Alligator mississippiensis: one gene and its partner. The protein of the gene in region 1 interacts with the protein of each later gene in a pairwise test. Links are inferred from orthologs where the notes say so. Each region holds a gene or a part of one and is shown on either strand. Other genes may lie near its edges.

Region 1 (10,309 bases):
TGCACTCCAAGTTCTGGGTGGTGGATGACAAGCATGTCTATGTCGGGAGCGCCAACATGGACTGGCGCTCGCTCACGCAGGTACCGTGGGGGCACACGGGCAGGTGCACATGCACGTGCTGGCAGTGAGCTGGCCAGGGGCACATGGGAAGATGGGGAGGGGGCTGTAGCCAGGTGCTGGGGGCTAGATGCTGGGATGGGGCAGGGGCTGCGGGTGCAGGGCTCAGGGCCCAGGCCCAGGAAGCCACATGCTCACCCCCACCTCACCTTCCCGCCCGCAGGTGAAGGAGCTGGGCGCTGTACTCTACAACTGCAGTTGTGTGGCCAGTGACCTGGGCCGCATCTTCGGCACCTACCGGGCACTGGGAGGGCCAGGCACCCCCCTGCCTGCGGCCTGGCCCTCTGAGTTGGCTGCCCTGTCCAGCCTCCGCCGGCCCCTGAAATTGCAGCTCAATGGTGTCCCCACACAGCTGTTCCTCTCCGTGAGTGCCTGGGGGGTGTGGGAGGAGGGGCAAGGGGAGCTGCGCCCAGGCGACCTCGCTGCGCCGGCTCTGAGACTGTCTGTGCCCAACCCCAGAGCGCCCCACCGGCCCTGTGCTCTGCTGGCCGCACCCCTGACCTCGAGGCCATCCTGGAGACCATCGCGGATGCCCAGGCTTTCATCCATGTTGCCGTGATGGACTTTGTGCCCCAGTGCACCTTCTGCACTCCCAAGAGGTAGCCGCGGACTAGACCGGCACGGGCTGGGGGAAGTCTAGGAGCAGTGATGCCTGTGATCTCCAGGCCTTGGGGTTTTGCTGGCTGCCACATGGGGCTGGGAGGGAATTTTCCCCTTGCATCAAGATTTCTCCCTCTTTGCAGTGGTGCTTGGTGTCAGCCGCAGCCCAGGCTGGGGGCAGTGGCTGGGTTGTGCCAATGCTTCTGCTGGGACTCAACCCAGAGTGTCCTGGCTGGAGGGTCGTGCCCCCTGCTCAGGGTCAAACTGATGCTGCACAGGGGGCAGGAAGAAGTTTTCCTCTGGTCAGATTAGTACAGACCAGGGTGCGGGGTGGGCGTTGTCTTCCTCAGCAGTGGGTGCCCTGGGGTCTCTGGGGCATATTTAACGCCCCTCCCACAGGAGCAGGGTGCTGGCAGACAGACCCCTGGTTTCCCTTTGGGCAGGCTCGGGTGGTTGGGTTGGAGGTGATTGCATTGTTGTGCCCATAGGTGAGTTCGCAGGGGCTGGCTTGCGTGGGGCAGGGGTTTGGGGCTGGATGCGACTCCCAGAGGTCTCTGCCTCTCCCCGTGACCAGCGCCGGCTGCCCGCAGGTTCTGGCCAGTGCTGGATGAGGCGCTGCGGGAGGCAGCCTGCGGCCGGGGGGTGCGCGTGCGGCTCCTGGCCAGCTGCTGGCCTCACTCTGACCGCGCCATGTTCCCCTTCCTGGAGTCGCTGCTCATCCTGCACCGGGAGCCCCTGGGCTGCCCCATCGAGGTGGTGAGTCCTGGAGCTGCAGGAGAGGATCCCAGCCCAGGGAGGGGCAGGGGTCACTTCAGAGCTGGGGGGGAGGTTGGGGTAGGGGGTGACACTACCGCTCCCTCCACCTCTGCTGCAGAAACTCTTCGTTGTCCCGGCCACGGAGCAGCAGAAGCAAATCCCCTTCGCCCGTGTCAACCACAACAAGTACATGGTCACCGACCGCGTGGCCTACATCGGTAAGCCCGGGCACCAGTGCTGGGAGGGGGCTGGAGGCGTAGACACCTGGCTTCTCCCCAGCCCTGGGAGGGAAGTGGGCGTGGGGGCTTGGAGCAGGGAGGAGCTGGGAGCCCGGACCCCTGGCTTCCACCTTTTTCTGGGGACCTCTCTGGTGAGCTGAGCCCTCCCCTGCCCAATCCCAAGCAGCACTGGTGTTTATCACTGGTTTCCCCCCCTCCCCGTAGGCACCTCGAACTGGTCGGAGGATTACTTCATCAACACCGCAGGCGTGGGCCTGGTTGTGAATCAGAGCACCGAGGAGCCGGGGACACCCGGGCCTTCCCTGCGGGAGCAGCTGGCCGCTGTGTTCAACCGGGACTGGGAATCTCCCTACACGGAGCCGCTCAGCCTCAAGCCCCGCTGTGCTGCCAGGCACTGAGGGCAGCTCCCGCTGAGGGTGGGGGAAAGCCTGGGACCCCACCCTCCTCCCCTGGACTGCTTTGGACAGCTGGGGATACCAGGTGGCTCCCACCCCCCACCTGGGGGGGCTGGGACCCTATTAGCCAAAGAAGGGGCAGCAGTAGCTGCCTAGTGCCAGGCACCCCATGGCTGCAGCTATGGCCAGGGGGTCTCTGCACTGGAATCTCAGGGTCTGATGCCCTCTCCCTGCCTGGGGGGGGCGAGGGGTCTTGGGAGGGTTGTGCTCAGGGCAGCAGCAGGGGCAATGGGCATTGTTTGGGGGGTAGGTCATGGGCTGGGGCAGGAAGAATCGGGGCTAATCAGGAGCAGGGCCTTGTGGCGGGAAGGCGGGACGGGGTGGGCAGGGGGCTGCTTTGCTGGATTGCATGGCATTGTGGGGGCACGGCGCCTCTGCCAGTTTGCACTGAGCCCGGCTGGGGGGCTGTGGCCCAGGTTTGGGGGGGGGGGGGCATACTGATGTGGGCCAAGGGGGTTCAAAGCTAGGCTGAGTGGCTAGCCCTGGGGGTGGCCTGCGTGGGGATGGGGGGGCAGGGGGCTTTGTACACAGGGGCTGTGCCTTGGGGGTGCAAGGGGACGCAGCCCTCCCCAGGGGCCAAACGCGGGGCCAGAGGTGGGGGGGTCGGTGGCTCTGAGCAGCTCCTATGTGGCTGGGGGAGGGGGGGGCTGCACCCTGCAGGGGGTTGCAGTGGGTTTGGGGGGCTTTGCAGCTGGGCCATTGCGGGGGGAGGAGTGGGAGTGGGGGGGGCCTGTGCATTGCAGTTGTCACTTTCCAGAGTTTATTTTTGTAACCAGAGCGACAATAAAGCAAATTCTGATGCCACTGGGCCTGTCAATCACCGCATACGCCCCACCCCTCGCGCTATCAATCACCGCCCCGGGCCCCGCCCCTGCCCCTGCCGGGGGCTCCGCAGCGCCCCCTTGTGCCTGCCGCGCGCAGGCGCCGTTGGGTGCCTCTGGTGTCATGGCGGCCGCGCAGCCAGCCTGCCTCTGCCCCGAGTGCGCATGCGCTGCAGCTCGCTGTCCCTCGGCTGAGCGCATGCGCAATTAGTTCCCGTGGGGGTTCTGTTACGGGCCGAGGGGGCGGGGCTCCCGCGGGGCTGCGGCCAATCGGGGGCAAGCGCGGTGTTGCGGGTTCTTTCCGGTCCGGAGACGTCGGGACTCAGGAGGATGTTTTACCACGTGAGTGGCGGAACCCCCCCCCCCCCCCATGCCCCCGGGGCTGGGACACTGCGGACCCCGCCCCAGGGAGACCCCCAGCGCAACCAGGCTTCCCGGCATGCACTGCTGCCCAGCCTTGAGAAGGGGGTTTACCTGGGGGGGTGGACAGCGGGAGGGTGACAGTCCTGGGGGGAGGAAGGAGGGCTGATGGGGGGAGGGAGGGGGGTTGACAGGGCAGTCCTGGGGGGGGTGATGGGGGGGCAGTCCTGGGGAAGGAGGGGAGTGGGTGGGGGCAGGGGGGCCTGTCCCAGCCCCTGTGACAGTCTGTGACCACCCCATGTCCTGCCCCAACAGATCTCCCTGGAGCACGAGATCCTGCTGCACCCGCGCTACTTCGGGCCCAACCTGCTCAACACGGTGAAGCAGAAGCTCTTCACCGAGGTGGAGGGCACCTGCACGGGCAAGTGAGTGGGGGGCCAGGCCAGGCTGGGTTGGGGGAGAACAGGGAGCTGGGACACGTGGATGGAGGGGATCCCACCATGATCTAATGTCCTAACGAGACTGGTGTTGTCCCTCCCCGCCCCGTTCCCTCCCTGGCAGGTACGGCTTCGTCATCGCCGTCACCACCATCGACAACATCGGGGCAGGCGTCATCCAGCCGGGCCGCGGCTTCGTGCTCTACCCCGTCAAGTACAAGGCCATCGTCTTCCGGCCCTTTAAAGGCGAGGTGGTGGATGCGGTGGTGACCCAGGTCAACAAGGTGAGGGGCGGCGGGGCACAGGAAAGCCTCTGGTGTAAGCCCTGGTGCGGAGGAGGGCTGCAGCCCTGCACCATCTGTCTTGGGATGCGGGGGGCTGTAGAAGCTGCTGGAGGCTGGGGCGTGCTGCCTCTGTCCCCCAGGACTAGAGTGACCAGATGTCCCATTTTTGGCTGGGACAGTGCCAGATTCTGCAGGCTGGTCCTGGCTGGCTGGGCAGAAGTCCTGAGCGGCGAGGCCGAGCAGCTTGGTGCGCCAGGCGGGCGGGTGGACACCTGCTGCAGTGCAGGAGCAAGGCGGGCGGACGTACGGCCACCCTAAGATACCACATCCGAGACCCCTACGTTCCTTGCTCCCGCGTTGCCCAAACCCAGGACTGTCACCGTGGCCCTCACAGCTTTGCTGCCTCCTCTTCCCGCAGGTTGGGCTCTTCACTGAGATCGGGCCCATGTCTTGCTTCATCTCCCGCCATGTAAGCACTGCCTGGGGAGGGGGCTGGGGGCTGCCTCTGGTCTGGGAGGCTCAGGTGAGACCTGGGAGCCCACCACAGCTGACTGTCCTTCTCTCCATAGTCCATCCCCTCTGAGATGGAGTTCGACCCCAATTCCAACCCCCCCTGCTATAAAACGGTGGACGAGGTGAGCTGGGGCTGACGGTGCTCCCTGGGGGCACCTGGCAGCATTGGGGGGCACTGGGGAGGCTGGGGTAGAAACTCAGGTAGGGGCTAGGGGGTGCCCCAGAGCAGGGCAAGGGGCAGGAGGGTGGCTGTTTTCCAGTACATGAGATTCCTTGGGACAAGGAAGGCCGGGACGGGGCATGTCTGCTTTAGGCTCTGCTACTGTCCTGTTGAGTGGCCTGGGCCCTGTCACTTTCCCCTCGCATGTGCCTCACTTTATTCATCTGTAAAACCATCCAGCCTCCTTCAAAAAACTTCTGAAACCAGAAAAGAGAGGGACAAGCTGGTTGCAAATGGCATCTTAGTGATGAGAGGCATTCATGTCATTGAAGCCCTTCTCCCCTGTGGAGGAGATGGCAGGGGCTGCCGTGGTGTGGGGGGAGGGGGAAGCAGGGTGCAGAAATGAGTCTCGCCTGGGCTCCACGTGTCTGCAGGACATCGTGATCCAGCAGGACGACGAGATCCGGCTGAAAATTGTGGGAACCCGAGTGGACAAGAATGACATCGTGAGTCCTGCCTGCTTCTTTCTGTGGGGCTGGAGCCGGGTTCCCAGCTACCCCATTCCTAGCAGAGGGGCTGTGGGCCTGGAGCAGCTGGGTGGGAAGGAGTTGTGGGGCTGTCCCAGTGCCAGCGGGGTGGGAGCATGGGGGCTCCAGTCCCAGGCTGCGGGAGGGGGCGGGGGGCATACGCGGTGCTCACACCTGTGTCCTGCTTTGCAGTTTGCCATCGGCTCCCTCATGGACGACTATCTGGGTGAGTCTCGTCTCTGGCTCCAGGCCTGCCCCTATCCCTGCGTACCTGCACAGACTGGTGCTCCTGACAGTTGGTGCCCGCGGGTCGGGCTCTGCTCACCGAGGGGCTGCAGTCTTTCTCAGGTGGGGGCTCCTGGGCGATGGTGCTCCAGGGTCTCCTACATCCACCCTTCTCTCTCCATGTCTCCTTCAGGTCTCGTGAGCTGATGCACAAGCCCGTTCCTCTGGTTGTGTCCCTGGGCTCCAGCTGGGATGAGCCTTGCCTCTGCCCCCCTGCACTGCTTGCCCTATTTATGGGGGTCCGGCGTGGGCCTGCCCAGGCCTGGGGGCCGGGTCCACACCTGCCTGTTCTTCCTCCCAATAAAAGCTGCTTTTCATACACCGCTGTGGTGTGTCTGCTGTTCCCCACTCCCTCCCGTGACCCGAAGCTGCTTCGTGGGAGTGGGAGGGTGTAGGGGGGCAGAGGGGGGCTGCCTGGGGCTGGGCTGTGCTGAAGCACCCGCCCCCGTAGAGCCAGGACTCTGCTGTGCTAGGTGCTGTACAGGCACAGGGTGGGAGTTTGGGGAGAGCTGCAGTAGGATGGAGGGGTGTTGGGGAATGAGCCTGGGATAAGGGGGTGCAGTGACCCTGCAACCCTGGCCAGCCCCATTGGGACCCCAGGGCGGTCTGGGAGGACTGGGACCTCCCTGAAAACAGCACCCCGCCCCCCAGCTGACAGCAGTGGGGGGGTGGGGTTTGGGGCGTGGAGGAGCCCTGGGAACAGCACGTGGGACCAGCTGCAGGACCAGCCCGCGGGCGCCCCCGTGTGACAGAAGCGCGTTATTACCACTTCCAAGGCCTCACCGCGCAGGCGCAAGCTCCTCCACGCCCCCCTACCGCCCCTCGGGAGACGCCCCTTCCGCTGCTGTGACGTCATATGCCGGCGCCGGCGGCAGGAGGCAGCTGTCGTGCTGCCGCGGCCGCGCGCTTTACGGCCCCGCCACCTCCTCCCCCGCGCGCTTTACGGCAGCCTCCCTTTCTCCGCTCGCGAAGATGGCGGTGGCCGGGGTGAGTGCGGGGGCCCCCGCCCCCTCGCGCTATCCGGCCCCATCCGCCCCGGGGGGGGCCCGGCCGGGGCCGGCGCGGGGCGGGCGGCCGAGGGCGGCCCTGGCCCGTCCCTTTGCGGCGGTTATTGGCGGGAGCTGGCGCGGAGGAGCCGCTTGCGGGGCCTGGATGTGTGGGGGGGGGGCCTGGCTCGGGTGACAGCAGGCCTTGGCCCCTAGAGGGTTTCCCTGGGGGGCGGGGCTCGGGCAGGGACCGGGTCGGGGGGGGCGTGACCCTAGCAGAGGTGCTGGGGGCCCCTGGGCCAGTAAAAGGGGGGATTGGGGTCCCGGGGGGGGGTGCTGGTGCCAAGCAGGGAGCTGGCACCGGGCACTGTGCTGCGTGGGGGGGGGGGAAGCTGTGCAAAGGGGGCACAGGAAGGTGTGAAGTGGGGGGGGCATGGGCTGGAGCTGAGGACCCCTTGGTTGGGGTCTTGAGGGGTGTGTGGGGGGGGTCAGAGGAGATCAGTCGGGGGTCGGTGGGTCTGTTGCAGGAGTGAGTTGGCAAAGGGGGGGGGCTAGGTTGAGGGGGGCTGAGGATCCTGCTGGGGGTGGGGCAGGGCAGTGCCCAACGGTGGGTGGGCTTTCGGGGTGCCTCGAGTGAGGGGTGCAGGTGCCTCGCTGGGGGCGAGGGAGCGCTGTGTGCGCGTGCGGGGGGGGGGGGCGCTGCCCGACTCCCCTCACCCCCTGCTGCGCCCCACAGACTCTGTACACCTATCCCGAGAACTGGCGGGCCTTCAAGGCGCTCATCGCCGCCCAGTTCAGCGGCGCCAAGGTCAAGGTCCTCTCCACGCCCCCCCAGTTCCACTTCGGGCAGACCAACAAGACCCCCGAGTTCCTGAAGAAGTTCCCCGTCGGGAAGGTGGGTAACGGCGCCACAGGGGGGGGGGGGGGGGGATGGGATCTGGCTGGGGGCTTTGCCAGGTTTCCAGCCGTGAGTCATCGAAATCGGACACGGCTCCGCTGCCACGCTGTCCTTCTGCCCCGGCTCCTTGCGCTGTGGGGGTGGAGGGCAAGGGGTCCCGCTTCGCATCGAGGGGAGCCGTGCGTCTCCCCAAGGGGAGCTCGGACGGTGTTTGTAAGGGGAGTTTTTCTTTCCAAAGCTTGGCAAGGGGGAAAGGCTACTCCTAGGAGCTGGGGGTGCCCCGAAGGTGGGTTCCCGTACCCACAATCCGTGGTTCCCGTACCCTACTGGTAAACGCCTCTTTCTCTGCCAAGGTCCCGGCTTTCGAAGGCGACGATGGGTTCTGCGTGTTTGAGAGCAACGCTATCGCGTACTACGGTGAGCCCGGTCCCTCTCCAGCTTCAGGGGGCTCCGGTCCAGGCAGCTCTGAGTCTGTCGGAGGTTTGGGGCTGGGGGGATGGATGTTGGGGGCAGCGCCACGTGTCTAGAGCGCTGAGAAGTTTCCTTCCCCAGTGAAGATGGGAGGGACGGGGGGCTCTTGTGCTGCTGGTGACTGTGGGCTCCCTTCTCAGTCAGTAACGAGGAGCTGCGGGGTGCTAGCGCCGAGGCCGCCGCCCAGGTCCTCCAGTGGGTGAGCTTTGCAGACAGCGACGTCGTCCCCCCTGCCAGCACCTGGGTCTTCCCCACACTGGGCATCATGCACTACAACAAACAGGTCTGTGGGAGCCGGGGCTGGAGCGGGGGGCACAGGGCTGTCCTGCAGGGGCCTGCGGTGAGGTGAAGGCTGGGATTCGCTGTCATTTCTGTCGGCTGTGGGCTTCCTGCTCCCCTACTGCCTTTGTTGCCCCAGGCACAGAGCGAGGTCCTGGCTGCTTGGCGATGAGGCTAGGTGGATGCTCAGAGGCGTTTGGTAGCTGAGGTCTGTTGTCTTTCGACCTGGAGTCAGGGGAGGGGTGCTGGGCTTAGCTATGTACAGGTGTGCCTTAAGAATGGCTGGGCGTGGGGTGTCCGCAACCTGCCTCTTTCTCTGGTCCCCCCAGGTGAGACCCTGGCGACTGCCCGAGTGGGTTGCAGGTGCACCCAGTGCTCGTGGGCTCCCCTGCTGCAGTGGATGCCCGGGCCAGGGTAGTTGGGTGGACTGTGCTCTGCAGCGGGAGCTCCCCTGCCGGAGACCTCCCCGTGCTGACTGCCTCTTGGATTAGTGTCTGAGCACCTAAGGGATGGGCTAGAGCTAGGGAGGAGGCTTTTCCGCATGGGTTTCTCTGGCCTGGGTGCTGATCTGGTGTCTTTGCTCCCCCAGGCAACAGAACTTGCCAAGGAGGAGGTGAAGCGGGTACTGGGGATCCTGGATGCACACCTAAGGACTCGGACCTTCCTGGTGGGCGAGCGGATCACGTTGGCTGACATCACCGTCGTCTGTACCCTCCTCTGGCTCTACAAGCAGGTGCGGGTTGTGGGGGGAGGGTGGCTCCGTGGCCGTAGCCAGCAGCTCTGGAGGGGGCTGGCAGCTTTGGAGGCTCTGGACAGGGGCTGCTGTCTAGACGGATCACTTGGCTTGGCCTGGAGCTCTTGGTGTCCAGGACAACAGAAGGCTGCCGCTGTGTGTGCTGCGTAGCCGCCAAGGTTTGTGGGGGAGGTAGAAGGGAACCAAGATCCTCTACACGCTGTGGCGATGGGGCCAGCCCCAGCTGACTGGTGGCCTGTCCCTCCAGGTTCTGGAGCCATCCTTCCGCCAGCCCTATGTGAACACCAACCGCTGGTTCGTCACCTGCATCAACCAGCCGCAGTTCAAGGCCGTGCTGGGGGAGGTGAAGCTCTGCGAGAAAATGGCCCAGTTTGATGGTGAGGAGCTCCCTGGGCTGCGAGGGGGGAGCTTGGCTGAGTCCCCTTGCCAAGGTGTCGGGGTTTGTTCCTGCCTCCCAGGAGCAGCCACTCGCCAGCATTGCCCAGGCTGCACCTGGAGCTAGTGCAGGGGGCCCATCCCGCACCAGCACTTCCTCATAGGCTGGCCCTGTCCTCGCTTCCACTGCAGCCAAGAAGTTTGCTGAGAACCAGCCCAAGAAAGACACCCCCAAGAAGGAGAAACCAGCAAAGGAGGACAAAAAGCAGCAGGCGCCGCAGCAGCAGGAGAAGAAGGAGGACAAGAAGCCGGCCCCCGAGGATGAGCTGGATGAGTGCGAGCAGGCCCTCGCGGCTGAGCCCAAGACCAAGGACCCCTTCGCACACCTGCCTAAGAGGTGGGGATGGACCCCGTGGGGGGAGGGGGGGGTGTTGACCAGTGCACCCGAGGGGTGTCCCCCTCCACCCCTCCCATGTGTCTTCCAGGCTTAGCGGGAGGCAGCTGGGTCTCTGTTCCTTTCCCCCCTTCTCTCCTGGCCTCTTCTGGGCTGCCTGCCACCTGTTTTGTTCATGCCAGTGGCTGGGGCTGCAGCCAGGCGGCTCTGCGCGCCTGGATGGAGCAGGGCAGAGCTGCCTTGTCAGGACAAACTGGGGGAAAGGGGGGGCACGGTCCAGCCCCTCCATACCAGAGGGAGGGAACCTGAGTCAGCTGGAGCCACCAGGGGGCAGCAGCTGCCCGCAGTGCCCCGGCTCCCACACCCTGCCACGTGCTGCAGAGCACTGGGCCACCGCCCAGCACGTCCTGCTGGGGAAGGGGGGGCTTGGGGGCTGCTGTGGGGAGCCCGGCTGGCGCCCACCCTCAAACTGACTAAGCCACCGTCCCCCACCCCCAGCCCGTTCATCATGGACGAGTTTAAGCGGAAGTATTCTAACGAGGACACGTTAACGGTGGCGCTACCCCACTTCTGGGAGCACTTCGACAAGGAGGGCTGG
Region 2 (10,188 bases), on another chromosome or scaffold:
CACTGACAAGCCTCCTGAGCTTGTCAAAGTCGGCTTTCCTGAAGTCAAGGACTTGCGCGTTGCTGACCGACTTGCCAGCTTTTCGGCGGATGGTGAAGGTGATCAGCTCGTGGTCGCTGTCACCCAGCTTCCCATCGATCACTAGGTCACCGACTAGGTCCTCCCCAGTAGCCAGCACCAGGTCGAGCAGCGCTTTGCCTCTCGTTGGCCCATAGACTTCTTGAGTCAGGTAGAGGTCATCCACGCACGAAAGGAAGCTCTGCGACCGCTCAGATTTTGCTGAGCGATCCTCCCACGAGATGTCCGGGTAATTGAAGTCACCCATGACAACCATGGTCCTGGAGCAAGCTGCCTCAGCCAGTTCCTGGGCAAACTCCTGGTCTAGCTCAGGACTTTGGGTGATCTCCAAGGAGCCCCTGGGATCACTGGGTGGTGACAGCATGGGGCTGGGTCCTGAGGCAGAGCCACGTACGAAATTTTGGTGAGCTGTTGCAGGGCCAAGGGACAGGGAGTGCTGGCCTGGCCCGTGGCAGCTCACCAAAACCCCCCCAGTGGCCCTCTGGCCCAAATGTTGGCTCACCCCTGCACTAGAGGCTCTGCACAGGGGCACAGACTGTGCAAAACCCCAACAGCACAGGGATGAATTACTTCTGTTATGTTTGGACATTCCAGTATCAACTTTTCAGGACAGTCATTTGCTTACTGCTCACCTGAGGACAAATAACCTGAGGCAGGGTTACAACAGGGGAAGATATCACCCGTGCCCCAAGCAGAGCAAGCCTCTCCGTTCCTTTCACTACTTTAGCTGCTTCACTATCCCTGTTATTTGCCTTTAAATGAATACTAAGTGCACAGATACAGAGTATGTAGATAGTCTACTATCTCATGATGACTTACCATAAAAATGAAAAAGTACCTTTCACCTGAGGGTCTTAAAGTACTTATGTCTGAACAGCTTAACAAACACCCCTGAGGGCAAAGAGGTATATCCATTTCATACGAGGAAATTTCTTTTTCAATATACTTCTTAGACTGGAAGATTCTCACCATGCCACCAGACTAATGATACTCACCAGCTAACACAGAGAGTGGCTTGTGAGGCCACCTGCAGAAGATGAAACACGCTCATGACTACTGTTTGTATATTAGTATTTAAACACAGATTGAATGCTAGTGAAAGAGTGACAGCCCCGGAGCATGAAGCGCTTTCTTTATCCGAAGAAAAGGGACAGTTCAGAGAGCAGATCTGTAACTTTTCACAGTATCTTGTCAATGGGCTTCTACCTGAACCTGAAGGTTATAAACACATGTGCTCTGTTTCTTCAGCTGCAGCAAGAATCCCGGCAGAAGTAGGGTGACGGGACAGTTCCAAGTGCAAGCTCTAAAAAGAAAGAGAGAGAGAGAAAAGCTTTGGAGCAAGTGCTATTTTCATTATTGTAATAAAGTTCATTATTCATTGTTAGAAGAAAGAGAGTCCTTTCGTGGTTCTTCACCATTGTCACATGAGAGAAAAGTCACGGCTGTAAGAAAGGGGCATTCAGCCTCTATGGCCCACTCAGCCCTTGGCCTTTCTGCTGTCACTGCTGACTGGGATGCCAATTTGCATCGCTGTTTTTATGACGTGGGCACCACAGAACTGAGATCCATCAAGGTCGTTCCATACAAGACACCCAATAGTCTCCCAGGGTTAGGAACAGTGATTCCTTCAGAGAGGTTTTTACTGAGCAGCCTAGAAACGAAAGGCCCCATAGCCCACAGCCTCCAAACCTCCAGCCAACCGTGGATTTTTCAGATGGTATCTGTGGGGGAATCACAGACATTTACACATGAGGATTTTTCCAGCTATTTGAGTTGGTCTAATAAAAGATATCAGATTTACCCAAAGAACCTTGTCTGCCTATGTCCTTAGACCAACACGGCTACAACTTAAACCCCACACAGGCGTTTACTTATTTTTATTGAAGCGTTAAACATAAAATTACATGTATAATAGGCACGTGAGCTGAAACGCCCCTAGCTACTCCAACAACTAAGGCAACAGGAAGAAATGCCTAGATGAGATTATTAGCAAGGTCTCCCTTCACCCTTCACCAACAGCATCTCACCAGCACCCTACAAGAAGCAAGCACTAAACAACCAGCTTCACAATACACAGCCAACAATAAAAGGGGACAAGGAAGCCGTAGCTCTCACCGGAGTGAATGCCATGCTTCTCTGGTGGGGCTAGAGAAATCACAGGTAATAATCATCATGCTACCAGTGGAATACTGGCAAATGTTTGCACTTGCAGCAAATCTTTGCTCTCAAATCTATTTACAAACTACAGGCCTAATCCTGAAATCCTTACTCAGCCCTTGCTGGGGCCTGGAGAGCAACGTGAGTTTTCCTGTAAGTTCTGAGTAAAGACTAAGGATTTTGGTAATTGGAGCTATACAGCCACAGCACCGAAACACAGCTGACTCTTGCGCGGAGGGGAACTCAACATGTCACACAGCAGAGCAGGGAGAAAGGGGGTTCTTGGTTGAGGATCTCGGCTCGACAGCTCAATTTGGACAGGGCACAGGTTGGCACCAAGCTGGCCAAACACAGGGCAGAGTGGAGGAGGGTTGTTACAGCATCTAAGGTGCCCCAATGGTTGCAGCGGCCTCGGGACTGATCTGACCCAACCTGACACACCGGCACAGTTCAGGGCCAGGTAGAGCAGGCAGCAGAGTGGCTTGAGACCTTCCCACAGCAAATGGCTCAGTTTATCTACCTTGGGACAGCGAGCTGGGTCAACTCTGCTGGAAGCCGAACATGAGACAAGCAGGCTGAGAAGAATGGGATTGGACACCCAGACAGGATCATAAAGAAGTCGGGCTGGGAGGGACCTTATGAGGTCTCCTAGCCCAGCCCCTGCTCAAGGAAGGATTGTCTCTGACTCAACCAGCCCAGCCAAGGGGCTGTGCAACCTCCTGAACATTTCCAAGGATGGAGATCCCACAATTTTTCTAGGCAGCCTATTCCAGTGCCTGATCCCTCATAATCAAAAAGTTTTTTCCAATCTCAAACCTACATTTCCTCTGCTACAGCTTGAGGCCTTTGCTCCTACGGTCACAGAGGAAAGCCCATCTCCATCCTCTCTATAATCGCCCTTCAGGTATTTGAAGACTGCGATCAAATCCCTTCTTGGTCTTCTCTTCTCCAGACTAAATAACCCGAGCTCTTACATCCTTTCCTCCTAAGTCCAGGCCCCTGATCATTGTTGTCACCCTGCATTGGACTCTTTCCAACCTGTCCACATCCTCCTTGAAGTGTGGGGCCCAAAACTGGACACAGCGTGCCATCCAGGTGAGTGAGTGGAGGAATCACTTCCCTTGACTTGCAGGTGACACTCCTGTTAATATAACACAGGATGCTGTTGGTTTTTTCAGCAATAAGAAAGCACTGCTGGCTCATACTCAGCTTATGGTCCACTGTAACTCCCATGTCCTTCTCTGCAGCACTGCAGCCGAGCCAGTCATTCCCCTGTCTATATTTGCACACACTTTGTTGAACCTCATTTCACTGATTGTGGACCACTGAGTCATTCTGGATCCTGCCCTTCAGAGTATCTGCAACCACACCCAAATGCTATCTGCAAACTTGTCAAAGATGTCCTATTGGCTTTCAAACTCAATATATCTCCTCTCAGACTACAGTCTGCCAAATTAGGATATCAAAACCATGGCTTTGATCCCGCAGTTTGAAGGAATCCGGGCATTTTTGCATCGCTTTTCTGTCCCAACCACTCCAACGTTCAGAGCAAGCGCAGGTTTCCCAAAGGGACAGTGCTGCCATCTTCACCGTGAGCAACATGAGATGGGGACAGCGTTGGATGTGAAAAAAGAAACGAGTGGCAGCGCAGCCCTGTGGGTGGAAGTGATGCAGACAACACGGGATACCTGGGACGTAGGGATGAAGGGGAGCGAGGCTGAGAAGTACGGATGGAGAGAGCAGCAATGAGCAGTGATAAAAGTGATGCGGGGGCCGGGGAGGCAAGACTGAGGAGGAAAGGCTGGAGGACCCAGGGGTGGGATTTAGACCGAGGCGGGATTTGATCACAGTCTTCAACTGTCTGATGGAAACGGAGAAGACAGAGACAGAGAAGATGGAGACAGGCTGTTCTCTGTGACCGCAGGGGACAGGATGAGGAGCAATGGCTTCAAGCTGCAGCAGGGGAAACTGAAGCTGGAGATGAGCAGGAACGTCCTGACTCCGAGGGTGGTCCTGGTGCCCGTCCTCAGAGGTTTCCGGGAGTAGGTTGGAGATGCCGTGGCTGGGCTGGGTGACGGTCGCCGCGTTCGTCCGAAGCCGAGCAGAAGGCCGGGGGAGTCGGCGCTGTCCGGACGAAGCCGAGCAGGGAGAGCGCAGACGGCCAGATACGCGGGAACCCAGAAGTGCTCCTGCCCCGACCAGGGAGACGCCACCACGCCGGGGCCCAGCAAAGCAGGGGCGAGGGGGCTGCAGGGCCAGGCCACAGGCGGGGGCTCACCCCGGAGCAGAGGCCTGTGGAGCCTTGAGACCCCTTGCAGGGGGATGAGGTCACATGACAAATGTACTCTGTCCAAGTTTGCAGATGACACAAAGCTATGGGGAGAAGTGGACACACCGGAGGGCAGGGAACAGCTGCAGGCAGACCTGGATAGGCTGGACAAGTGGGCAGAAAACAACAGGATGCAGTTCAACAAGGAGAAATGCAAAGTGCTGCACCTAGGGAGGAAAAATGTCCAGCACACCTACAGCCTAGGAAATGACCTGCTGGGTGGCACAGAGGTGGAAAGGGGTCTCAGAGTCCTAGTGGACTCCAAGATGAACATGAGCCGGCAGTGTGACGAAGCCATCAGAAAAGCCAATGGCACTTTATCGTGCATCAGCAGATGCATGACGAATAGGTCCAGGGAGGTGATACTTCCCCTCTATCGGGCGCTGGTCAGACCGCAGTTGGAGTACTGCGTGCAATTCTGGGCGCCGCACTTCAAGAGGGATGCGGATAACCTGGAGAGGGTCCAGAGAAGGAACACTCGTATGGTTAAGGGCTTGCAGGCCAAGCCCTACGAGGAGAGACTAGAGAAACTGGACCTTTTCAGCCTCCGCAAGAGAAGGTTGAGAGGCGACCTTGTGGCTGCCTATAAGTTCATCACGGGGGCACAGAAGGGAATTGGTGAGGATTTATTCACCAAGGCGCCCCCGGGGGTTACAAGAAACAATGGCCACAAGCTAGCAGAGAGCAGATTTAGATTGGACATTAGGAAGAACTTCTTCACAGTTCGAGTGGCCAAGGTCTGGAACGGGCTCCCAAGGGAGGTGGTGCTCTCCCCTACCCTGGGGGTCTTCAAGAGGAGGTTAGATGAGTATCTAGCTGGGGTCATCTAGACCCAGCACTCTTTCCTGCTTATGCAGGGGGTTGGACTCAATGACCTATTGAGGTCCCTTCCGACCCTAACATCTATGAATCTATGAATCTATGGCATCACGATGGGGGGTAAAAACAGGGTGCGGGGATAACGTCATGCTGACGTGTGCCATAGGGTGAAAGGGGGTGCAGGGAGGATGTCATGATGTCTGGCATGGGGTGAAAGAGGGTGCAGGGATCACATCATGATGACATGTGGCATGGGGTGAAAGGGGGTGTGTGGGGATGATGTCATGATGTGTAGCATGGGGTGAAAGGGGGCGCAGGAATGATGTCATGGTGACGTGCGGCATGGGGTGAAATGGGGTGTAGGGATGACGTCGTGATGACGCGTGGCACGGGATGAAATGGGGGCATGGGGGATGACGTCACGATGACGCCTGGCATGGGGTGAACTGGGAGGAATGGGGGTGACGTCGTGATGACGTGACACGGGGGGCAGGGGGCGCGTTACCCGCTCCTCCGTCGCTCCCTCCGCGCCGCGACCGCCAGGGACAGGTCGGGGGGGAGGGGCGGGGTGTGTACAGCGTTCCCATGGCTCCCGCTACTTCCGCCCAGGACCGGAAGTACTCGTCGGAACGCGGAAGTGAGGTCCGGCCCCTTCCGGCCGGCGCTGGCGCTGGCGCTAGCGCAAGGGGGCGGGGTCGCGGCGCTCGGCTACGGCGGCCGGGCGGGGACAGTGCGCGGCGAGGCGAAGCGCGGCGCGGCTGGGCGAGGCTAGACGAGGCGGCTGCCGGCCGGCGGGCGCGGGACGATGCTGGAGGCGGCGGCGGCCGAGGCCGAGCTGGACGCCGAGGACCTGGTGCACTTCTCGGTCGGGGACCTGCCCAGCCGCGGCTACGGCGTCATGGGCGAGATCCGGCGGCAGGGCAAGCTCTGTGACGTCACCCTCAAGGTGCGGGGGGGAGGGGTGGGGGCCATGAGGTAGGGGAGGGGTGCTGGGGTGTGTGCTGGGTGGGGGATGGAGGGGCAGTGGGGCGGGCGGGGGAGGGGTGCTGGGGTGTGTGCTGGGTGGGGGGTGCGGGATGGAGGGGCAGAGGGGTGCTGGGGTGTGTGCTGGGTGTGGGGGTGCAGGATGGAGGGGCAGTGGGGCGGGCGGGGGAGGGGTGCTGGGGTGTGTGCTGGGTGGGGGGTGCGGGATGGAGGGGCAGTGGGGCTGGGGGCCATTGGGACGTGGGGGAGGGTGCGGTGCGGTGTGGGGAGCGCGGCTGGCCCATGCGGTGCTGCAGCCGCAAGCCCCAGCTGCCCAGGGCGAGGGCATCGGCTGCCTGGAGCCCCTCCCAGCCAAGGCAGAGCGAGGGTGGGGGTGACATGACCCGGCCCGGCCCTTCTCTGGTTGAGCATTTGCCCCGTTGCCAGCCCCCGGGCGCCAGGCACGAGCCTCGCGGACTCCAGGGACGTCTTCAGCCCTCGGCCGCGTGGTCCTCCCTCCCTCCAGCCGGAGCCGCTTGACCCAGCACTTGCCGGTGGCAAAGGCGCGCGTTTCGGTAGCTGTTGTGTGTGTGCGTACATGCGCGTGTCGTGCTGGTGGTTACGGTGCAGAAATACTGGCCGCGGCGTAGGAACCGGATGACAGGCTAGCGCAGCGTGGACGGTTCGACGCCCGAGCTATGGCAGGCTTCGGACAGGGAGGATGTCGCTGCTGGGCTGGAAGCGTTCGTCGCGTTCCTCGCAGGCTGCGCGAGGAGTTCGCATCTCCCAGACGTTTTTACGTCACACAATCAGCAGCTGCCGTTGACGCGCCGATGTTGTCGGCGAAGCATCCGAGGCCTGGATGATCTGGGCAGTCATGCTGCTGCCTCCTCCTTGCTGTAGGCCTGCCGTTGGTAGGGCAGAGATTTGCACCGCGTCTTCTGGACGTTCACCTTAATGTGGAGAGACAGGAGTAGGAACCCATTATCTTTTAAGAGCATTATAGTCCCTGCCTTAAAGAGACTATAAGCCAGTGTTTGTAAAGCCTGGATAGGGCTTGCCGTGCTGTGTCATGCAAGTGATCCCATTATGATGCCTGTGGGAGCAGCTGGTGCCTCGGCAGGAGGTGCGGGAGTCTCTGTAGTTGGTAATTACAGACCTGGAGTTAATGGGCACAGGCGTTTGGTGGACACCTATGGTGCTGCTCTCACGCTTAAGGTGTGCAGACTGGTCACTCGGTCGTACGAATCACATCTCGAATTCAGCACTGATACGTTCCTCGGGCGACACAAATGGAGTTCATCCATCCACTTCCCACTGCGTAAGACAAGGGTTGTGTAAATAGCCCTTGTGTTCTTCACTCCAAGTATTGTGGGCGATTTGTATGTAAATGGAGACTATATGGGAATATTCAAGCCTTAAATGAAGAGTATATGGGGATATTCAAGCTGCACCAAATAGGATTCATTTCAGTTGCCCTCAGGATCTTCCTGAGAGAGTGTGTGTTTTGTCTGGGTGGTGACCGTGGGCACGCAGACACGGCACTTCATAACAGGCGGGCAATTAGCTCAGACTGGGGCGCTAATAATGCCAAGGCTGCAAGTTCGATCCCCGTATGGGGCACAAGGTATTTCCTGCCTCAGAAATCAGCGGTTCTCAACCTTTTCTCTACCAGGGGCCGTTTGTAAACCTCGCTGGCCACTGCCGACCCAGTGCCCCTCGCTCCCACCCTGCTGTCCCAAGGCCCCAGCCCTCCAGTGTGTGGGGCATGGGGGGCCCCAAGCCTGCAGCTCTGCCAGCTTGTAAGGAGAAAAACATGGGAAACCGTGGCTTTTCCCTTTAAAGGATAATCTTTTTAAAGTTTGATCCATTTTTTTCCAAGCTTGTTCCCGACCCTTTCATATATTCTTGCAATCCACTTTTGGGTTGAGAAACGCTGGACTAGATGACCCCTAGCGGTTTCCTCCCAGCCGTACTTCTCTGTGACTTCTACGACCCGGTTCCTCCAAATAAACTGCCCCAAAAAGAGACGTTTGGAAACTATTGGATGATTCATGTTTTCGCCGAAAAATACTTCTTTGTCGAAATGGAGACTTTCCCTGGAAACGTTTTCCATTAGATTGGAGATGCATTTTGTAGGATGGAAATTCTGGTCAGGCCAAAACAGGCCAGAGTGGTCGGTCTAGTCCAGCGGGTAGGGCAGTCGCCTGGATGTCAGCCCCAGGTTCAAGTAGCCCCGAGCTTTGGGTGTAGGTTTGCCACGTCAGGGGTGAATGCTTTGGTTGTTGGTTCTTCTGGGAGGTGCCTCTCTCCCTGTTTTCAAGATCTGCGTCTCGGGAGGACAGGCGGGGAGATCTTTGTTCTTCTGTACAACAGCAGCATTTTTAGCATCTCAGTTATTTTTGAGGGGGGATATCCATGTTGTTTCCAGCAAGCATGGTGTTGTAGGAAGAGAAATCACAAAAATCTACCAGCTCATTTGGCTTTTGGCTGGCAGAGGACTGAATGGCCCTTTCAAAAATCAATTTTGAGGCATGTTTCTGCAGGAGGGGCTGAGTTTGAAGTACTTTGGCCTGTGAAGTAGCTGTTCTGTAGATTAAGGAGGCTAAGGCCCCCGTGTCTGTATTGCCTCCCTGGTGAGTCTTAGACCACTGCTGGGAAATGAGCCCTGTTCTTGTCTCTTCCCCGCTCTCTGACATGAGGGAGCCTGGGACGGGTGCTGGGGTGTGCATTCAGGACCCCCCAGGCTGACTGTGCTGCCTAATTGCTAGGTCTGCACGCACAGCTGGAGCAAGCGAGTTGGGCTTGTCTCATGGTGGTGCCGGGCTCAGCAGGGAGGCCGGAGACTGTTTATCAGCCCAGCTCCCCTCGGTAGCACTCTTTTCTCTGAGAATAAATTAATCACGATCATGAAGTGTCCTCCTTCTCTGCCACTTCCACCTGCTGACAGCTGCCTCTTTCAGCGTTGGCTCGCACAGTCCTTGCCAGCTGAGCTGACATTGTTGACGGTCTCCAGCCAAGCCTTTTTTTCCCCTCTTTCCTTCAGTACAGGATGCCTTCTCCAGGCTCTTTAGTATGCATTGCAAGGTGTTGTGGAAGTCAATTTTATCAGATTAACTTTGGAAGTGTCTTTTCAGCCAGTGTAGCAGCCACTTCACTAAGCAGCTGATTTAAGAAATGGACTTTTTCCTTGACCTTGTCGAGGGCCACCCTCAGTGTGTGTTGATGAAGTTTTAAATGTTAAAATGCCTTAACCCCAAAAAGGGCTTACAAAGTGGGTTGCCTGGGAGAGGTTGTATTTGACTAAAGCTCGAGCGAAACCCCGGGAGGAACAATATAGGATGGTTTAAATCTCATTTTTCAAACAGAGGGGTCCCTGTTGGCAGCGGGGCTTAGTGCATGTTTCACGATGAAAAGGCTTGTTGCCATGTTGATTCTCCGATACGGGCTGTCCGAAGGGACGATGTGTACTCTGAAAACCCTTGTGTTCGGTGACCTGGCTTCTCTCCCTTGGCCTTGCCAGGATTAAAGCGCTGCTCTGTGTTTCACCAGAAATGGGAATGAGCACGGTTACTGAGCTATAGCAGGGTTCAGTTCAATAATAGCCCCCTCTCTAATAATGAGCAGAGTTTTAATGGTGCTAGGGGTTGAAAGCTGTAAATGATCCCGTGTGTAGGCAGGACCAACGTTGTTCAGTAGCATCAACTCTTGTCTCTGGTTTTTTCCCCCTTTGAAGCACTGGAAATGATCAAATGAAGGAGAAAGAGAAGCTGAATGAATGTAAAGGGAAGAGGACCTCTTTGGTTAACATGCCGAGTAGTTAGCCTAAAGCATGAGTATTC

Evidence for each region. The genes of interacting proteins can lie anywhere in the genome.
Region 2: the proteins of EEF1G (region 1) and KLHL18 interact in binary tests that used the Homo sapiens proteins (3 or more experiments, as listed by UniProt). The two-hybrid records come from large-scale screens. The link is inferred for Alligator mississippiensis from reciprocal best matches to the Homo sapiens genes EEF1G and KLHL18.

Annotation. Positions count from the first base shown.
Region 1 is NC_081838.1:3,124,877-3,135,185, reverse strand, and holds the start of EEF1G (elongation factor 1-gamma), read left to right. Parts: upstream 1-6,442; 5' UTR 6,443-6,526; coding exon 6,527-6,541; intron 6,542-7,276; coding exon 7,277-7,435; intron 7,436-7,791; coding exon 7,792-7,855; intron 7,856-8,049; coding exon 8,050-8,192; intron 8,193-8,777; coding exon 8,778-8,921; intron 8,922-9,189; coding exon 9,190-9,319; intron 9,320-9,509; coding exon 9,510-9,714; intron 9,715-10,209; coding exon 10,210-10,309. Other genes in the region: 5'-3' exonuclease PLD3, read left to right, coding at 1-80, 281-481, 577-716, 1,308-1,473, 1,592-1,691, 1,917-2,110; POLR2G (DNA-directed RNA polymerase II subunit RPB7), read left to right, coding at 3,319-3,330, 3,664-3,773, 3,910-4,069, 4,488-4,538, 4,639-4,704, 5,177-5,248, 5,462-5,495, 5,688-5,701. UniProt on the Homo sapiens protein: Probably plays a role in anchoring the complex to other cellular components.
Region 2 is NC_081828.1:216,967,164-216,977,351, forward strand, and holds the start of KLHL18 (kelch-like protein 18), read left to right. Parts: upstream 1-6,087; 5' UTR 6,088-6,188; coding exon 6,189-6,329; intron 6,330-10,188. UniProt on the Homo sapiens protein: Substrate-specific adapter of a BCR (BTB-CUL3-RBX1) E3 ubiquitin-protein ligase complex required for mitotic progression and cytokinesis.